Drosophila melanogaster: one gene and its partners. The protein of the gene in region 4 interacts with the protein of the main gene of each other region in a pairwise test. Each region holds a gene or a part of one and is shown on either strand. Other genes may lie near its edges. The genes, in order: TwdlY, Cse1, CG34056 and Cpn.

Region 1 (3,452 bases), on a different chromosome or scaffold from region 4:
CTATTTAATTAAATTTGATGAGCTTATTTTGATTTCTCACTTCATTTAAGCTAATTTCTGTTGGAAATTTTAACGGCAGCTTTGGCTTCGATTTGTGAATACCGACCGATTCCAATTCCAATTCCGATTCCGATTTGGTTTTGGATTTGGACATATATTGAAATGTGTCTGCTGATTTGAATATCTGGGGAAAACAAAGCTAAAATTTTTGTTTCTGCCTCGATTTATTTTTGACTTTGACTTTGATTTGGATTTTGATTTCGTTTTTAATTTAATTGCGCCGATGAGACATTTCAATTTTATTTATACGATTTTTATTAATTTTTTAAATGACTGACCTTCTGACTTTTTTCATACCTATTTTTACATATGGTTTTATTGGACTGGTGAAACAAGAAATGTGAGATTTTTGAAAAAATAGAAACATTGGAAATTACTGGAAGATTTTTCCAAAGCATCTTTTCATTAATTTTCACTTGATAAAAGAAATGGCAATCGAGATTTCTTTGAGAAACTTAAACACATTGCTTATGATTTTTTTTTTTTAATATAAGCTTTTTATTAACAACGGTTCGATATAACAAAAAAAAAAATACAAAAAAATATTGAGGGCGTTCTTAAGAATATACAACACAACAGGGTTCGAGAATGGGTGTTTTGTTTTCTGATTTAGATGATGGAGAGATGATCTACTGATGCACCGACATCCTCTAGTGCTTCAGCAAACTGGGCAGATACTGCGAGTTGGGCACCACTGCTGGTGGACGGTTGGCGATCTGGCGGTAGTTGTAGCTACCATCGGGATTCAGGCCATCGAGGCTGCCGATCACCGAGGTGATGGGGGCATTGTTGTCCTCCTGATACTCGTTGGTGCCTCCCAGCTTGTCGTACTGGCCCTGGATCTCCTGCTGCGCCTGCTTGGCCTCGTCGTCGGTCTTGTACTTGATGAAGAACACCTCCGGCTTGCTGGGCTGCGTGGGTGCGGGCGTGGCAATATCGCTGGCGTCCACATCGTTATCCTTCTTGCTGAGCACATAGATGACGGTCTTCTCCTCCTGTGGCGCAAACTCGGCGGAATACTTCACGTTGGCATTATCGCCGGCTGGAGCCTTGATGAACACCACGCGGTAGTTCTTCTGCGGACGTCCCAAGACCAGATGCTTCACCTTGCCATCGTTGCTGTGATCCTCGGGTGCGGAAACCAGATAGAATTTCTTGTTGATGATGGGCGCCAGGGTGGTGCTGGCCGGCGGCAGGTACTTGTCGCCACCACGGTGTGGCTGGATGCTAACCAGACCGCCACCGGAGGAGCCACCGATGCCCACACCACCAACGGGCGCCGATCCACCGCCGATGAAGATGTCCGAACTGGGCTGTTCGTAGCCGTACTGAGGACGGGCTTGGGTCAAAGCCACCAGGATCAGGCAGCTCACGAGCACTTGGTGGACAAACATGGTGTTTTTTTTTTTTTTTTTTTTTTTATATGTGTAATCCCTTCTCGAGTGTTTGTAATCCTTAATGGTAGTTCTCCTGTTTGGGATGCTTCGTTGACGAATTGCTGCGAGGCAATGATTGCATTTTGGGCCGCTCCACTTGTCTTAAATATGCTCCGATTGTCAAATGGCTGCCTCCTCTGTCGGCGTCGCTGTTTGGCCGCTTATGCAAATGCAAATGCCGCATATAACATCATCGTCGCCGCTGCTCTCGATATCCAAAGCATCGTCATCAGCGTCTTCTCTGGGCCTATGGATCCATTGGCATGGCATACGCCTTGTGATCTGACCTAAAATTTATTCAAATTAGAACGAACGCAGCCGAAATAGCAACAGCAATAGAAACCACCATAGCTTGGACTAACCATTGGACAAAGAGTCTTCTCTGACATTGAACTTGACTGGGCCGCAGCGGTGCGGTGACCCTGGCGGTCGGCTGGGCATTCACGATGGATTAGCAAATATCTAAATATACGGCTTCATAACTAGCTGATATATACCTATCTTACATGCAAAAAAGAAACTATTGAATGGGGGCCTAGCGAATCTCATTAAACGGCACCTCATCACCGCTGGCGGCATTAATCTTGTCCAGAAACACGTTTGCTGGGTTTTTTTTTTTTTTTTAGTTTGTTTGCCCACGTCTATCATTAGTTTCGGGCCTATCAATTAATTTGCGAATATCTATAACAGTTGGATTGATCAATGAATATTTGGAGACGGCTGCAAGCCAGTCAGGCTAACATTTATTTCTATATTATATGTGATATTATATATTATATATATGCTAATAAGGACCTTATTATCCAGAAGTTCCTTTTAAAATCATGTTTAGCACATTATACGAATGTAAACTATTGCTTTAATAATCCTATAACGCTTGATAATTAAGTGAAAACAAAACAGTTGCATGAAAAAATATTTGCTTGTAACAGAAATATACAAATATATAAATTCAAATTTACTTCTTTTGCAACTCTTTAGTTTTACATATATTATATTATATTATATATTATGAAAAATGAAAATGGTATTGATTTAGAATTGAGTCCCATTTAATTTCCGTTGCCTTAAAAGATCAAATCATTACCGCTCCGATTAGCCATCTCATTCGCTTTCCGGAATTTCCCATCGATTTCGACTGGTGCTTCGATATTTTTGTCACCATAAATGGTGACCCCAACGCAAAGTCCATTGGGTGAGTCAGCTGAGAAGCCAAGACGCGAACCAACATTCACTCGTCGCTTTGGAGGTCGCATAAATATTGCCAAAATAAACACATAAAACATAATTTGCACTCATCGAGCATATTTGAATAATGCCTTTGAATGGATTTATGGCCGCCAAGATTGATGACAGAGCATAAATGCATAAAACCGATTGACACTTTGCGGTGACAAACAATGGAATGGATAGTAATCCGTATTCTAACAGTTTCCAATCGATTTTCAATCCGACTAGACTAATTTAGCCATTAGCCGATCAGCGATCACAGATAGATCGCATAGATCGCATATCGCCCGTGGATTATGGAAAATCGAACAAAATGATAATTATCAATTAGGCATTCCATATTTATAACCACCTGCGATCGCGATCGCGATCGCTTGCTGTGCTGAAAATTTATGTAACATTTTATTGATGATGACAGTAATAGAAATCGAATCGAGGGACAAATCTTCGATCTTTCGATCTCAATCTTCTTCGGACCTCGGCTCTTGGCGGCTACCGTCCGTCGCGGTAGGTTTTATTTAGTAGGTGTGATTATCTTTATGCAAAAGATCTGGCCGCCGCCGCCCATTGATATGCAGATCGCCAGATTTCCGAGAGAGAGCAAGAGATATGGGAGTTGGTAACTGATTTCTGCCCTCCTCCCATTTGTAATTGATAATATATTTGTTTTGCGGGCGTGACCGCATTTGCCGCATAATATATTTAGTATGGCTAATTTTTATTTAA
Region 2 (6,288 bases), on a different chromosome or scaffold from region 4:
TTAAATTCATTAACAAATGCATTCAATAACAATCTATTTGTGTTAATCAGTACTACATGCATGTGCAAAAGTCATACAAAATATGCTTTGTAAATTGGCAATCACAAGTTTCCTTCTTAACTTGCATTCTGGCTTATAAATTACGAAAAGTACACGGACCCGACCGATGCAGATATTTCAGTGTTGCTCCATTTTTAAATGTTAACCTTTTTTGAAACCTAACTACTGTAGTCGGTGCCGTTGAGCGAGTTTTTGAAATGCTGGACGACATAATCGTGATAATAGGCCATTATGCACAGAGGCTGACCAAGAATAATGGAAGCCCACACGATTATATTGCCCATTCGGGGACCCAGTTTCTTTTCAATGGATTTGGATATGGCCGATAGGGGAATCTGACCCATCATGCCCATAAATGCCCAGATCTTGTATATTTGCAAAGGAACTGAAACCTGAAAATATAAATTATATTATTGTACAAAATTTGAAATTCTAAATATCAACCCTCATACCAAATATTCATGGAAGACGGCACTGAAAAGAAAGACAATAGTAGAGGCCTGTCTTGAGGAATATCCCATTTGGACCACAGGGATGTAGAGATGACGCACGCACCACCTATGAACTGGCATGTTCCATGTACGCCAGAAGGTGTCAATGTTATTCGCATTCCACCAATCACAATAAAAATTGCGATCTGCAAAATTCAGCAGTTCGCCGACCGCATTAAGAAAAGAGTGGAACATTAGATAGAAAAAGCAGAGCCAGCAAAGATGATTGGGTAGCTAATTAAAGAAAAATTATTAAATAATACTCAAACGTTTTATAATTTTCACTCTACCAACCGCAAGTTTAAGAAGTCGCTCAGTGGCTAAGGCCACGTCCATATTGGAGAACGGAATCAGGGAGTTCCGAACCGATGGAATGATCCATTGTTGAAACAAGGCCATAACCACATTCACTCCAATCACCACCTCCAATAAACGCTTCAGCAAAAAGCGTTTGCGCACGCGAGAAGTTCGCGGGAAATTCAACTCATAGCAGAGAGTGGGCGCGCAAAGGAAGTACAGGAGATCCTTGTATGTGAGATTATCAGGATATTGCACCAGCTTGGAAACGTCCTCGTCTTCTTCACCTCCATTCAAAACTCCTTTTTCTGGATGAAAGATGAATTTTTAATATATGACATTCCGTTGAGAGATCTCAACATACTTAGTTCCGCCAAAGTTATGCTTGGTCGACGCTCCCGCGGATTCTTTTGATAATAAGTCTGACGGCACCACATATTCGTCTGCACATAGGACCATAGTTTTAGGAACAACACAGAGTAAAAGAAGCAAACTGTTGAAGCGCCCACTAAAGATTAACAGATAATTAAATATTTTAAAATACACCTAAACTAAGTTAATTTCTCACTCAAACTAAAAGCATGTCCTTTTAGGTGAATTGTTACCACCGGTAGGCAAACCAAGACAACAATGTTCACTATCTGGATGAACAAGCCCAAGCCCTCTGCAATTATTTCCTGGAAAAGAATTACAAATTTGTTTTAATTTTTAATTCATTCAGTTGGTTTTTGAAAAAAAAAAACAGGAATTGATATCATATCAAATGATACTAAATTAGTAAAGTTCAATATGCGATATTTCTGATATGAACATTTAAAATCTAAAACCATCGAATCCTAGTAACAGTAACTATAAACAATCGATATCGAAAACTCGCCCTGAGTTCCATCCCCAGATCGGCGAGCATTGTGTGCGAAAACGAATTGCGATTTCATTTCATGTTGCAAGAGTGTGGAGGAACAAGCCACGAGTGATATAAATTAAAGCAAATAGGACCATCGAAAAGAAAATATACTCAAAATGGAAGTGACAGAGGCAAATTTACAGCTGCTGGCCGGTTATTTGCAGCAGACGCTGAGCGCCGATCCCAATGTCCGCCGGCCGGGTGAGTGTGTGTGTGTAGGAATGCATGTGCACACACACAACTGCACATGCGTGCAGGGGTGCTGATGTGTATGTGCGCGGGAAATGGTTTTTGGCGACGCCAAAGAAAAATACGGTTTTTAAATCCATTTGAAGTTGTCTACAAGTTTTCCCTATGTCAAAGAATTTATACAGTCACGCTTTCTATTAATTGAATCGAGATTAGCTGATCTTGATATGACTGTTGCCAAGCCACCTTTCAAAACCATAGACCTAGTTTTAGGATTATTTAAGGCATACCAAGCCTATAGACTCCGCACCACCATAACCAAGCTTTTGAAAATATTGTATAAAAAACTTATTGCTTGAATTGAAAATATGTTTAGTCTAACGAGAAACACTGTAAGCTCCTATCGGTTCCTTATATATTTGTATTTGCAACATCCGATTTACATAAGTACAATAGTTCTAACAAACACACCATTTCCTTCTCTACTTTTATAGCCGAAAAACTTTTGGAGTCCACGGAACTACAGCAGAATTACCCGATCCTACTGCTCAATCTGATAGACAAAGCCCAAATGGACATGACTACGCGGGTGGCGGGAGCCATTGCCTTTAAGAACTATATTAAGCGGAATTGGGCAGCCCACCTTGACAGCGACGGACCGGATCGCATCCACGAAAGTGACAGGAATACAATTAAGACCTTGATCGTTACGCTAATGCTCCACTCACCGGTGGCATTGCAAAAACAACTAAGCGACGCGGTCAGCATCATAGGCAAATATGATTTTCCCAAAAAATGGCCGCAGCTTATCGACGAGATGGTGGAGAGATTTGCCTCTGGTGATTTCAATGTCATCAACGGCGTTTTGCAAACCGCACACTCGCTTTTCAAGCGCTATCGTTATGAGTTCAAGTCGCAGGCTTTGTGGGAGGAGATCAAATTTGTACTGGATCGTATGGCTAAACCTCTGACAGACCTGCTCCAGGCCACAATGCAGTTGACTAAGGTGCACGAGAACAATGCCGGCGCCCTGAAGGTCATCTACGGTTCATTGGTCCTTGTGAACAAGGTGTTTTTCTCGCTCAACTCCCAAGATTTGCCGGAGTTCTTTGAGGACAATATCAATACGTGGATGGGAGCGTTTATTCAGCAACTAGCTGCGGATGTGCCATCCCTGCGTACTGCAGATGATGAGGATGCGGGTGTTCTAGAGCATCTGCGTGCTCAAGTCTGCGAGAACATTTGCCTTTATGCAAAAAAGTACGACGAGGAGTTCAAGCCATTTATGGAGCAATTTGTGACTGCAGTTTGGGAGTTACTGGTCAAGACAAGTTTGCACACCAAGTACGATTCGGTAAGTAACAGAAACCATACGCTTTCTTAATAATTATTTTTATAATTTTTCCATTCTTATTTTGCGCACAGTTGGTCTCCCATGCTCTGCAGTTCCTCTCTGTGGTGGCTGACCGCCAGCATTATCAGAGCATTTTCGAGAACCCAGAGATTCTTGCTCAGATCTGCGATAAAGTTGTCATTCCCAATCTAGACATCCGGCCCTCAGATGAAGAAATTTTCGAGGACAGTCCGGAGGAGTACATTCGAAGGGATATTGAAGGCTCTGACATTGACACACGACGTCGGGCGGCATGTGATCTGGTGAAGACTCTATCAATCAACTTTGAACAAAAGATCTTTGGCATTTTTGGCCAGTATCTAGAGAGATTGTTGACCAAGTACAAGGAGAATCCGGCTACCAATTGGAGGTCAAAGGATACGGCAATTTATTTGGTTACTTCGTGGGCATCTCGAGGAGGAACTCAAAAGCATGGCATCACACAGACCTCGGAGTTGGTTCCACTTCCCGAATTTTGTGCCCAGCAAATTATTCCAGAACTGGAAAGACCCAACAGTAAGCCCAAATAACCATTTTCCCAATTCGATCATCTTATATCTGCATTCTTCCAATGCTCTTTGCAGTTAACGAGTTTCCTGTTCTTAAGGCTGCTGCAATTAAGTATGTAATGGTGTTCCGCAGCATTTTGGGTCCCCAAGTCTTAGCAAGCTGCCTGCCCCAGCTAATTCGACATCTCCCCGCCGAAAGCTCTGTTGTTCATAGCTATGCTGCTTGTTCAGTGGAGAAGATCCTTTCTATGCGGGATGCTAGCAACGCGATCGTTTTTGGTCCTCAGATTTTAGCACCTTACACAACTGAACTAATTAGTGGGTTATTTGCGACCCTTTCACTCCCAGGTTCCGGTGAAAATGAGTACGTAATGAAAGGTGAGTTTGGGGGACTATCTCATACGTTTCTAATATGTTAACAAAACTCTAATTATTATTATTAGCCATTATGCGAAGTTTTTCGGTCTTGCAATCGGCCGCCATGCCCTTTATGGGCGTCGCCCTTCCACGGCTTACCGAGATTCTCACCCAAGTGGCCAAGAATCCATCGCGTCCGCAGTTCAACCACTATCTTTTTGAAACGCTGGCTCTGTGTATAAAGTAAGTGTTATGCATTTTGGTGGTAAAGAGCAATAACAAATTTTCTTTTTCCCTAGAATTGTTTGTCACGCCGATTCCTCGGCTGTGAGCTCCTTTGAGGAGGCATTGTTCCCAGTTTTCCAGGGCATCTTACAGCAGGACATTGTCGAATTTATGCCCTACGTCTTCCAGATGCTTTCTGTGCTGTTGGAAATGCGCGAGGGCACTGGTACCATACCGGAACCCTATTGGGCTTTGTTCCCCTGCTTGTTGTCACCAGCTCTGTGGGACAGGACGGGCAATGTCACACCATTAATTCGCCTGATTTCTGCTTTCATCAAGCAGGGATCTGCTCAGATTCAAGCCTTGGGTAAACTGGTAAGTTATATTATACATCACAAATTTTATTTTACAGAGTCCAATCTTATGCATTTTTCAACATATATTTCAGAGCGGTATCCTCGGAATATTCCAAAAGATGATTGCCTCCAAGGCTAATGACCATGAAGGGTTTTATCTTCTCCAGAATCTGCTTTCCTACTACCCTCCCGCTGAGATTCAAACTAATCTTCGTCAGATCTTTGGCCTGCTCTTCCAGCGATTGTCTCTCTCAAAGACTCCGAAGTATTTAAGCGGCATCATTATCTTCTTTAGCTTTTATGTGATTAAGTTCAGTGGCAGTCAGATGGCTCAATTGATAGATGAGATTCAGCCTAACCTATTTGGCATGCTGCTGGACCGCGTGTTTATCACCGAAATGGGCAAGATTCCCAAGGAACAGGATCGCAAAATGGTGGCCGTGGGTGTCACTAAGCTACTTACAGAAACTCCTGAGATATTGCAGCAACAGTACGCTACTTTCTGGCCACGACTGCTGCATTCTCTAATCGATCTTTTTGAACGACCACCAGAGAAATTGATGGGTCTCGAAATAGGAGAGACAGCTGGAGTTGCCGAAGATCCCGATGCGGGCTATCAAGTGGCATTTGCCCAACTGACTCATGCCCAGCCCAACCAGCAGGATCACCTGGCTGAGATTAAGGATGCTCGCCAGTTTCTAGCAACTTCGCTCTCTAAGTTTGCCCAGGCTAGGGCAGGAGAATTTTCCACTTTGTTGTCGCCCCTGGAGCCGGAGTACAAGCAAGTACTCCAGAAATATTGTGATCAGGCTGGAGTACGCATTGCCTAAAGGAATCGACCGACTTTAAGCTCATTCATCGCAATCAAACCTCGCCATACATTCGAAAATTTATGCATACACGCACTCGATCACTCATTGCATGCCCAGTTTATTGTCATTTAAAAATTGTATCTAATATATGTAAGTTTTGTAAACAATTAAAAATTATGTTTTCCGAAACTAGTGTGTTTCAACTGCGATAACTTCTGAATATTTCATACTTTTCTCTCTGATAAACAAATCATTTCTTGTCAAACACCCTTCACTCAATTTCAAAATTGTGAATTTAGAATTAACTAGATATTTCGAAATTTATCATATAAGCCATGTTCAAGCTAATAACGTATTTCAAGTCACGATCGAAGAAAATAGGCGTGAGATGCTATCAAAGTAAGTACTTACCATGGCTAGACCCTTCTCCACAGCCAAACAGAGCGAGATATGCACTAAAGAGTCTGTAAAATATGGTGAGACGAAGGTTATCAATTTCGTTTGCGTAATCCTTGATTTTGTGCGTGCTTACAAATGCTCAGGATTAGGGCGTTATGTCCTTCGCCTTCGTTGTGTCCGCTTATGAAGAAGAACCAATCCAGTGGATTGATGCGAATGCCATACCTAAAAAAATAATGAATTAGCTAAAACTTGTATTTCTACTCAAGATCATCGTAGTTACTTTAGGAGATTCT
Region 3 (3,475 bases), on a different chromosome or scaffold from region 4:
GATTCTTTCGGGATTCGGATTTGTTTATCTGGAGTATGTTCAGATTGGAATCTGTTTGGCTGCTCATAAAGATCAGCTTATTGCAACGCGCTCCCCATGTCCGATTTACCAACGCCGCCTTTGTGGCATGTGAAGATGGCATCGTGAGCACTAGGCAGAGTATGCGCACCTCCCTTCTCAGCCAGGTAGCCAGGTGCTCCTCCGAGGCCACTGGATACTTAAGTAGAGCAGCCTTCTCACTCGCCCGCAAGTCATTATTCCTCCACAGCTTCAGGTAGCCTATAAAATCGGTGAGTCGAATGCCCAACATAATGCCTAAGACGAGGAAGATGATGTTCCGAATCATTACCAGGATCATTGTATACTGCGATTGCAGTATTTTCTTTGGTGAGAAGAGAGATCCCATGCTGTGTCCAATTGGCGCAGCAATTTCGTTTATACATTTCGATTAGAGAGTCCGTGAAACAATACAATTTGTTCGTTGGTAAACTGCTGATGGCAGTCAGTCACAAAGTCTTGAAAGTATAAAAACAATTGTTTTCTATTTAATGATATTCTTAAGAGTTTAAAAACTAATTCTATTTGACTGTCGGTATGTTAAAATGAGTCTTAAATATGTACTAATATACTATATATATTATTCTTGTTTCAGCCACGCGTTTGAATTCGTGCTATTTTCTTGAGCCCACTGATTCAGCTGATTCTGCAGTTCATCGGGACCCAGTCGGGGTGGCAGCGTTCTCTGGGACAAGGGAGTTCCAAAAATGTGCAATCGATATAGCAGGTATTCATACATTTCGAACTCGTGGATTTTGACATAGTGAAAGCTGATTCCCGAAGTCGAGCCAGTTTCATTCACCTGAAACAATAATATATTAGAAATAATGTAGTACTTTCTAAGATATTATACATACTGGTTCATAAAATGTCAGTTTGGGCAGCCAATTGTCGGTGGGAAAGGTAGGCAGCATAAATTTGAGAGACAAGGGCAGAAACCGATCCCGGCCTTCCTCATCCCGCGAATCCCCTGCAACTACTCCCACATTTTGCAGGCAGAAGCCAATCTGCCTGTCCTCTGAATTGTTGTTAATCGGGCAGAATTGGCTGTTGTTGAAGGCAAAGAGATTGAGCCGACGCAGTGCATCCCGACTCATCACATAGCCAGCTCCTCCGGACATGTAGCCCTGCGGAAAGGTGGTGCGGAATCTGTGGCCAAAGTAGAGCGCTGCCTCGGGATCATAGGGATAGAGCAGGAAGCGCAGGTTTTCCATTATCACAAAGCTAAAATTGGGTGAAAATGAATATGTGATTTTGGAACTCGGTATGTTTTCACTTACGTGTCATCATCTGCCTTGAGGAACCAGTCGTAGTCTTCTCCATGGTTCCGGTACACATACTCTAGGGCCTTCCTCATTTTGAGATACAGGTTGTTTCGATCCTCGGGCACGCCCACATCAATGACGCCCAGTTCCCGATCCTCCTGGCTGCTGATGAAGATCAGCTTGTTGCAGCGCCTGCCCCATGTGCCCTTAACTCGTCTCACTCTTGATTGGTGATTCTTTGGCAGGGTTAGCACCATGCAGAGTACCCGTGTCTCGTTATGGAGCCACAAGGCCAGTTCCTCCTCCGTCGCCAGCTGGCTGGCCCCTTCCTCCAGCTGCGTAATGGACGTGCTGGCGAACTGACTATCGGTCAGCTGAAAGTACTCTAAGAAGTCTGTCAGTTGAATGCCAATGATGAGGCCCAGCACCAGGCAGAGTATATTGCGATACATGGCGAGAGTGTTCCTGGCTGCAACTAACCAGCTCCAGCTGGCATTTGGCGATTCCGCTGTGGGGAAATGGAGGGCACTGGAGTGGAGCTCTTACAAAACGAGCCGGGGGCACAGCGAATGCATTTCGCGGTGTCGCTCATCGCCGCCAGCTGATCGTCGACTGCTCGATGGGCTCACATCGCAAATGGCTTAAAGAGTCTCCCCCAACTGAGAAAGATGTGGGCAATTAAAGTCACTGAAAGAAACAATTTCATAGTAGCTTCCAACAAAAAATAAATCATTTTTATAAACATAATATAAGAAACGGAAACAATTTGTTGAAGGCTGCAAACCAAAAACGATTAATAATCAGAAAAAAAACATATTTAAGTTGCCGCATAAGATTTTGTTTCAAGTGCACCTCTCTCAGCCCGGCCAAAACGAGTTTTCAGCTTTGGCTTGTGATTGGCATTTGTAATGAGTCACACGTGGTGCGGTGAGTTCGTCTTCGCTGCCATGTCGCGTCGGTCGTCTCTTTCAGCAAATCTTTCCAATAGTCAACAATAGGAAACCAAAACAAGACTAAATTTGGTCCAAAGTCGCTGACAATTATCGGCTGACTAGCCGCCGAATGGTTTCCCTTTCCCTTTCGTGGGCCAAGAGCATCCGGAGGAACGCACCGGCATCTATTTTTGTGGCCAACCGGTTTGGAACCTCCTCTTGACCCACTCCGGCACAAGTTAGCGCCTCTCGCCCACTGAAATCCCAGTTAATCCAGAGCGAACGGCTTTGCTTGTGGCAATGAAATCACTCGTTTATTTTATTGCTAGATAATGTTCATTTCATTTCGGTCGTTTATGATTTAGCTTTCCATGGTACATATCCGCTTGTTATGTTTACTTAGTTTAACTGAATTCGCTTTACTTTGTAGATTTACTTTAGCATGGTTTCTTTAGACTAAATGTGGACTAATTATTTCACTTCAGATTGTGTTGTTAATCGTTTCGCATTGTTAAACATCTAGTGTCTTGTTATTCTTTGCTATTGGGCCTTTCGCCGCCTTTCATACACTCATCTCTGGCCTTAGAAAACTTTGTTACAAAACTTGTAATATTAGTTTGTCAGCTGGCTCAGCGTACTTGGAGCAACTCTATTACTTCCTCCGATTACATGCTAATCCTCGTTATACGTTTAGTAAGTGCACTTGCCAATTTCTGTTTATCGGAGGAGCCTCTGGTCAGAGGCTTCAAAAAAAAGGAAAAGGTTGCGAAATAAACAAAAATTGTCCGGCAAACTTAATTACAACATTCGGGGTGACGATACCTCTTTATACCTGGCCATACGCAAAAAGGGATTATTACTTATGTTAGTTAGTTACACAGCCTTAGAAACTACTTAAAACTAAAACATACATTAATCGGGGACAACAGAATGTGACTTGGGTATTACAAAAAATATAAAAGTTTCAAAGAAAAATCATGTTTTGGTTATACGAAAAATTAGGACACAGAACAGTGCGTTTCAAGACCATCAGGCAGTTGGAGCTTACAAAAAAAAAAGATAATTGGTTAAATAAGATATAAATTCAGTTACCAATTCCATTTCCGCAATGGCTTTAAAACACACTTTTCGTATTGGACATAACAATAGGTGCTGATAAACATACATTTTTTTTTGGAGTATTCCACAAATTATATAACAGTTACAAAAAAAATAAAATAT
Region 4 (5,529 bases):
TCTCGATTGACTTTTGCGTCAGGACAGATCAAAATAAATTCCATGGGCTCATTTTTAAATGAAATCAATAAGGGATAGTCTTTATATTTAAGCTTTTGAGGAAGCGTAAGCAGGAGCTTTAAATTAAATTATTCATTGATAAATTTCCAATTATCAGAAGTCGCCAGCTTTCTCGATACAAAAGCAGAGAGGTAACTCTAATTTATGTCGTTTTTTCGCTGACAAAGTGTGGGAAATATTCATTCATTTTCCCCGTTTACAATCGTCTGTATTTATGTCCCACTCCCTTTTGGAATGCTAATTTCCACGGGAAAATTTTCGACGCGCTTGCAAATTAGGTTCTGTGGCTGTGGCTTTGGAACCAGCTATGCTGATATGTCCAAAAAGTGGAAATGGTAGATTTGTTTTGGTTGCATTAATTTTGCACGGAACAATTTGTGACAACCTAGCCATACCTTGGCTCTTTTAACCCTATTATGAAAAGGAAATTAGTAATAAATTTGTATATACTTTAAAATTGGTGAAATAACGCTTTATTAGTAGCTTTACTTTACATGATCCAGGCTTTAAACTTGAGCTAATTGGATTTGGGAGGACCAAGAATTTTCTCGATTTCGCAGAGTCTGTCCATTACCTGCTGATTTCTGGCCTTTTGATCCTTTAGCTTTTCTCCAATGGCATCCAGGGTGGCTGCAATAGCCAATAGCGAAACATCGGTGGTCTGAAGATCTCTTAGCAAAGGAGTTATCTTTGCTACGGGAACGGAATCTGAGGGTGACGATGATTGTTCGGGGATTTCCGAAGTGGGAACCTCTTCAACTGCTTTCTCTGCAATGGTGGGAACAACTTCAGATATTCCCACACTAGTATTGTCTGGGTTGTCCCCGGCCGTAATTGGTACTTCGGCAGCTGGAGCTTCAGAAATCACTGGTTCTGCGTATTTTGAAACCTCCGGGACTGGTGCCTCTATTGGGATGGTGCTCTGTTCAACAATGACCTCTGCCGGCTTTGTCTCTGTCTCTGGAATTTCAGCTACTGCGATCTCTTGAGGAACCGGAGGGTCAATGAGCGGTATGGCAGTATCAGATACTTCTGCAGCAGCAGTAACGATTTCAACAGCGGGTGTGGTGATTTCGGTAGCTGGAGCACCGTCATTAATGTTTGCAACATCTGGTTCCTGAGTAGTGACAGGAGCTTCAGTTATGGCAGGATCCAGGACTTTTTCGGCTACAGGATACTCAACCGTAGTTTCTGGAATCGATGTTGAAGTTTCTGTCACCGGCACCTCTACAGCATCCACTGCTTCCTGGATTACGACAGGTGCCTCCACAGGTATGGGTTCTGTAGGGGTCGCTAGGCTTGGTTCCGGTTCAGGTATGGGCTCTGGAGCTGTAATTGGAGCGACAGCCACTTCTGGAGAGGCAACTGCTTCATTTGGCGGCGGTAATGAGGTCTCTGGTATTGGTGAAGATGTTGATTCTGCAGCTTCAACAGCTGGCACGGATGTAGTTTGTTCTAATAAATCCGGAATAGGAGCTGGTGGTTCCACAGGCTCGATTATTAAATCCGCAGCTGCCTCAGGTGGAGCAACGTCTGCAACTGCAACTTCTGTTGTAACTTCGACAGGCGGTGCAACTGGCGTTTCAATGGCAGCTTCTGATAGTACAGAAACATCGATAGGTTCCGTAGGCACTGCCGCAGGTGGTGCCGTGGTCTCGGGAACAGAAGCCGTAGTTGGTGGAGTAGAAACGATGGGAGCAGCGGCAGACGGAGCTTCAGCAGGTGCATCAGAGGGTGCGGCGATCACAGGAGCAACTTCTGGTATATCTAAAGCTGCTATGGTCACTGGTGCTGATGCTGGTGCTGGTGTCTCAGGAGTTTCTTCAGCCACTACAGCTGGTACAGGTTCGGCAGCCACAGGAGGGAGAACAGGTGGCGCTAAGTCGACAGGAGTTTCAGCAACAGCACTAGGAACGGGTGATGGAGCGATCACCGGAGGTAATTCGGGAACAGCAGATGCAGTGACATCCGGATCCGTTACTGCTAGTGTTGCAGGAACTGGTGTCGTGGCAACGACTGGCGCTGGTATTGATTCTGCGGCCACAGGAGGTACAACGGGTGGTGTTGTCTCAGCAACAGCAACTGAAGCAACTTCTGGGGTTTCTGCAACAACAGGTGGTGCAATGGTTTCTGGCTCTGGGGCTGGAGTAGGAGGTGTAGCTACAACAGTATTCGCAGCAACTTGGGACTCGGCAACGACTGGAGCAAGGGCTGGCGTTTCTGGTGCAGTTGTTAGAGTCGCAGCAGCTACCGGGGGCTCAGTCGAAGCACTTACAGGAGCGACCACTGCGGTCTCCACAGCTGGTGCAACCGACACATGGGGGGAAGCTGCAGCCGGAGCAACGACTGGGGTTTCAGTAGCCGGTGGAGCAACGACCACTGGCTCAGCTGCAGCTAGTGGTTTCGTTGCCACGACGGAAACCTCGGGGATGAGAGGTGCAACGCACTCCGGTATGGTTGCAACCGGAATCTCAGCAACAGGTGGTGGAGCTGGAGTCTCGGCGACGACGGGGGCAACTGCAGGAGCAACGGCAGGCGCAAGAACTGGGGCAACAACAGGAACAGCAGCTGGTACAGCAGCTACAGGTGCTGCAACGGGAACCGTGGTGTTAGCGGGAACCACAGGTGGTGTGGCGATCACAGGCGAAACAACGGGAGTCACGGCAGCCGGAGTGGGGGCAGAGGCAGCAACAGGTGGTGTCGCTATCACAGGCGCAGCTACAGGAATTGGGGCAACAGGAGTGGGTGTTGCAGCAACGGGAGGTGCCACTGGTGCTGAAACAGCGACCGGAATCTGAGCAACAGCAACGGGTGGTGTTGAAACTGGACTTGCTGCCGGCGGAGTTGGAGCTGCAACAACTGGAGGCGCCACAGATGCGACAGGAGCGACGGATGCGGCAGCAATTGGAGCTGGAGCTGGAATAGTAACTGTTGCCGGTTGCACACTTGCAAGGGTGGGCGGTGGAGCAACTGGAGTGACTGCAATCGGTGCCGCTGGTGCGGGAGCCACTGCCGCAGGACTTACTACTTGGACAGGGGCAGCCACTGCTGATGGCGTCACAGGCGCAGCAACTGGTGCTGAAACAGGCGATGGAATGGTTCCTGGTTCCATGTCTATCCTTTGCCCACTTTCACATAAAAGTTAATCCGTTTTTTCCTTTTGGGCGGATTGTGCCTTGTCCAATGCTTAGTTGCAAAAATGTTTCATGGCCAGCTTTTCATGGTCAGAAGACAACTGAAAACAGAGGAATGAAAACGAGAAAAACATGAGACATGGCAAGGCTGGATCTGACCATGATTTAGGCCATTGTCTTAAATAAAATTAAATCGATGAGAAACCACGTAAGAATGAGAAAAATAAGAATAAAAGTTCTCCGGAAAATACTGATTCAAATATCTATACAATAAAATTACATTGATTAAATGAGATTAGAATTGTCTTCACTACATGAGAAGTAAAAGTAAGAGCAATTGAGTTAACTAGTCTCTTGCTTCTGACGTCTATTCGAAATATATTTTTCTTTTACAAAACTGTAGTTGCTAAATTATGTAAGAGAAAACAAGGCACTTGCACAATTTCGTTCAAAAATTCGAAAATAAGCGGTCAGCAATGAAATGGTCAACTATTAGGAACTGCCTCTTAGGTAAGTCAATCCTTTTGAATATTTTCAATATTATTAACCAATTTAATTTGTTGAATAGTTTTAAACAGCGACCGACTTGCCGATGAGAAAAACGGTGTTTAACTGGCCCGTTGACTCAGTTTTCTTGGACATTTTTACCTCTTTTCATTGGTTTACCTTCGGTCAGAAGTCCGACAACTGCCCATTGAGCGCAGAAAGTATACGCATAGTTTCAAGTGCTTTTTGCGTTTTTCCAATTCCCAGACACTAAGGTGCTTATCAGCTGACCTTAGCCACATATTAAATTTGTTCCGGCTCGCACGAGGAAACATTTGGCGCTGAAAAGTGTGCTACATGCGTTGGCGCCCACCACTGCGTATGAGTGATATTCGCATATTATTCGATTATCGATTCCGTTCGCATCTTGCCAAATGCATCGGGTAGATAAATCGGGGAAACGCTTTCAAGAATTTATTCGCGATCCAGTGCATATCGCTTACCACTCGCTTTGTCAGCTGCACTCGCAGACACATAACTGGTTATTTACACAATACTGATTACTTTGCCGTATTTGCAATGTAGTTGTCAACAAAATGCGACAGGTTCCCGCGCTGCCCCGCACTGCCCCGCCCTCACCCGACCCTCCACAATCCATTTGCTATCGTGGCCCATTCAATGTCTGATGCAATGACAGTTGACAAACTGCCACTACGTAGCCGTTGGATCGGAACACATTAGCTCGGTGGAAATGTAATCGCAAAGAACTAAGAAATAAATCTTTCAATTTTTCGAGTGAATGCCGGGTAGGAAGTGCAGCCAAATGTAAAGCAATCCACAGAGGCAGCCGGCAGTTGCACATGCCGTCCGTTGGAGCAAGTGTAATGTGATCTGCGTACAATTTGCAGGCGTCGTTTTAAAAAGTCCAACACCAACACGTCCACCTACACCTTCGCCTCACTTGCCCCTCTGCTGGCCGGGAACCGAGCACACTTGAGACTTTTGCAAATAGTTTTTCCACATATGAACAGAAAGAATTTTTCTCGCAGGATGGAAAATAAAAAGAGTTGCGAACGAAAAGAAAAGAAATACATACATATATATAAATAGACGAGATGGGAAAACGCTTATATGGAAATGATTTCACTGGAGAAGTGGAGGAGCGATGCGGAGTAGTTGTGAAGATTGAATTGGCAGTTCAATTTCACGTATTATTGACATTTAAGCGTAAGCATTTGAATATAAACTGAACCCGGCTCAGGGATTGAATGCTTGGAAGGCCGAGAGCGAGTCCTTTCACAGGATGCACAGACATTGGCTGCCTATTATTTTCTGTGCGATAAATCAATCGCATGAAGCAAAATGCAGAGAAAATACCAAGATAAGTGGAAATGAAATTACATCAAGCATACAAATTGTATTTATACTTTATTCTATCTCCTCCTGCATCACTGAACTCGACAATTGATCTGAGCTGCGAAGGAGTTTGCGTACCTCAACAAATACATTTGATTTTCTTCGAATCTGTGGTCACTGATGAGTGATCTCAAATTGTAATTGCCAGCAATAGAATAGAAGTTTTTGTCATATTTTACAAATATTTCTCAAACAATGTTTTATACCGAAAAACAATACTCGGATGAAATCCATTCCCTGAAACAATGGATATTGCATTCCTGGCTATTTTCGAAGGTGAGGCGATCAACTACAAAAAAAAAAAAAAAACATAAATCAGCGCAGCGTATACACCTAATTGCCGTCATTTTGCACGCACTGTAAGAGTGTGGAAAGTCGGGCCCGTGTGCGATTGGAAAAACCAAATACAAATATGAATACAAATGCGGGGCGA

What was found.
Region 1: the proteins of Cpn (region 4) and TwdlY interact in a two-hybrid assay, tested with the Drosophila melanogaster proteins (one large-scale study listed by BioGRID).
Region 2: the proteins of Cpn (region 4) and Cse1 interact in a two-hybrid assay, tested with the Drosophila melanogaster proteins (one large-scale study listed by BioGRID).
Region 3: the proteins of Cpn (region 4) and CG34056 interact in a two-hybrid assay, tested with the Drosophila melanogaster proteins (one large-scale study listed by BioGRID).

The regions. Positions count from the first base shown.
Region 1 is NC_004354.4:16,733,075-16,736,526, reverse strand, and holds TwdlY (TweedleY), read right to left. Parts: upstream 1,581-3,452; 5' UTR 1,455-1,580; coding exon 711-1,454; 3' UTR 547-710; downstream 1-546.
Region 2 is NT_033779.5:16,820,647-16,826,934, reverse strand, and holds Cse1 (chromosome segregation 1), read left to right. Parts: upstream 1-1,727; 5' UTR 1,728-1,868; coding exon 1,869-1,953; intron 1,954-2,435; coding exon 2,436-3,295; intron 3,296-3,366; coding exon 3,367-3,850; intron 3,851-3,918; coding exon 3,919-4,221; intron 4,222-4,286; coding exon 4,287-4,443; intron 4,444-4,499; coding exon 4,500-4,800; intron 4,801-4,873; coding exon 4,874-5,611; 3' UTR 5,612-5,779; downstream 5,780-6,288. Other genes in the region: mdy (midway), read right to left, coding at 219-452, 513-785, 846-1,156, 1,213-1,356, 1,417-1,525, 6,005-6,057, 6,126-6,217, 6,276-6,288; CG13280 (uncharacterized protein), read left to right, coding at 5,929-5,992. UniProt on the Drosophila melanogaster protein: Export receptor for importin alpha. Mediates importin-alpha re-export from the nucleus to the cytoplasm after import substrates have been released into the nucleoplasm.
Region 3 is NT_037436.4:894,414-897,888, reverse strand, and holds CG34056 (uncharacterized protein), read right to left. Parts: upstream 1,939-3,475; 5' UTR 1,775-1,938; coding exon 1,338-1,774; intron 1,282-1,337; coding exon 915-1,281; intron 860-914; coding exon 638-859; 3' UTR 525-637; downstream 1-524. Other genes in the region: CG34057 (uncharacterized protein), read right to left, coding at 1-406.
Region 4 is NT_033777.3:12,162,379-12,167,907, forward strand, and holds Cpn (calphotin), read right to left. Parts: upstream 3,809-5,529; 5' UTR 3,743-3,808; intron 3,296-3,742; 5' UTR 3,173-3,295; coding exon 578-3,172; 3' UTR 509-577; downstream 1-508. UniProt on the Drosophila melanogaster protein: Plays important roles in both rhabdomere development and in photoreceptor cell survival. Might function as a calcium-sequestering 'sponge' to regulate the amount of free cytoplasmic calcium. It binds 0.3 mole of Ca(2+) per mole of protein.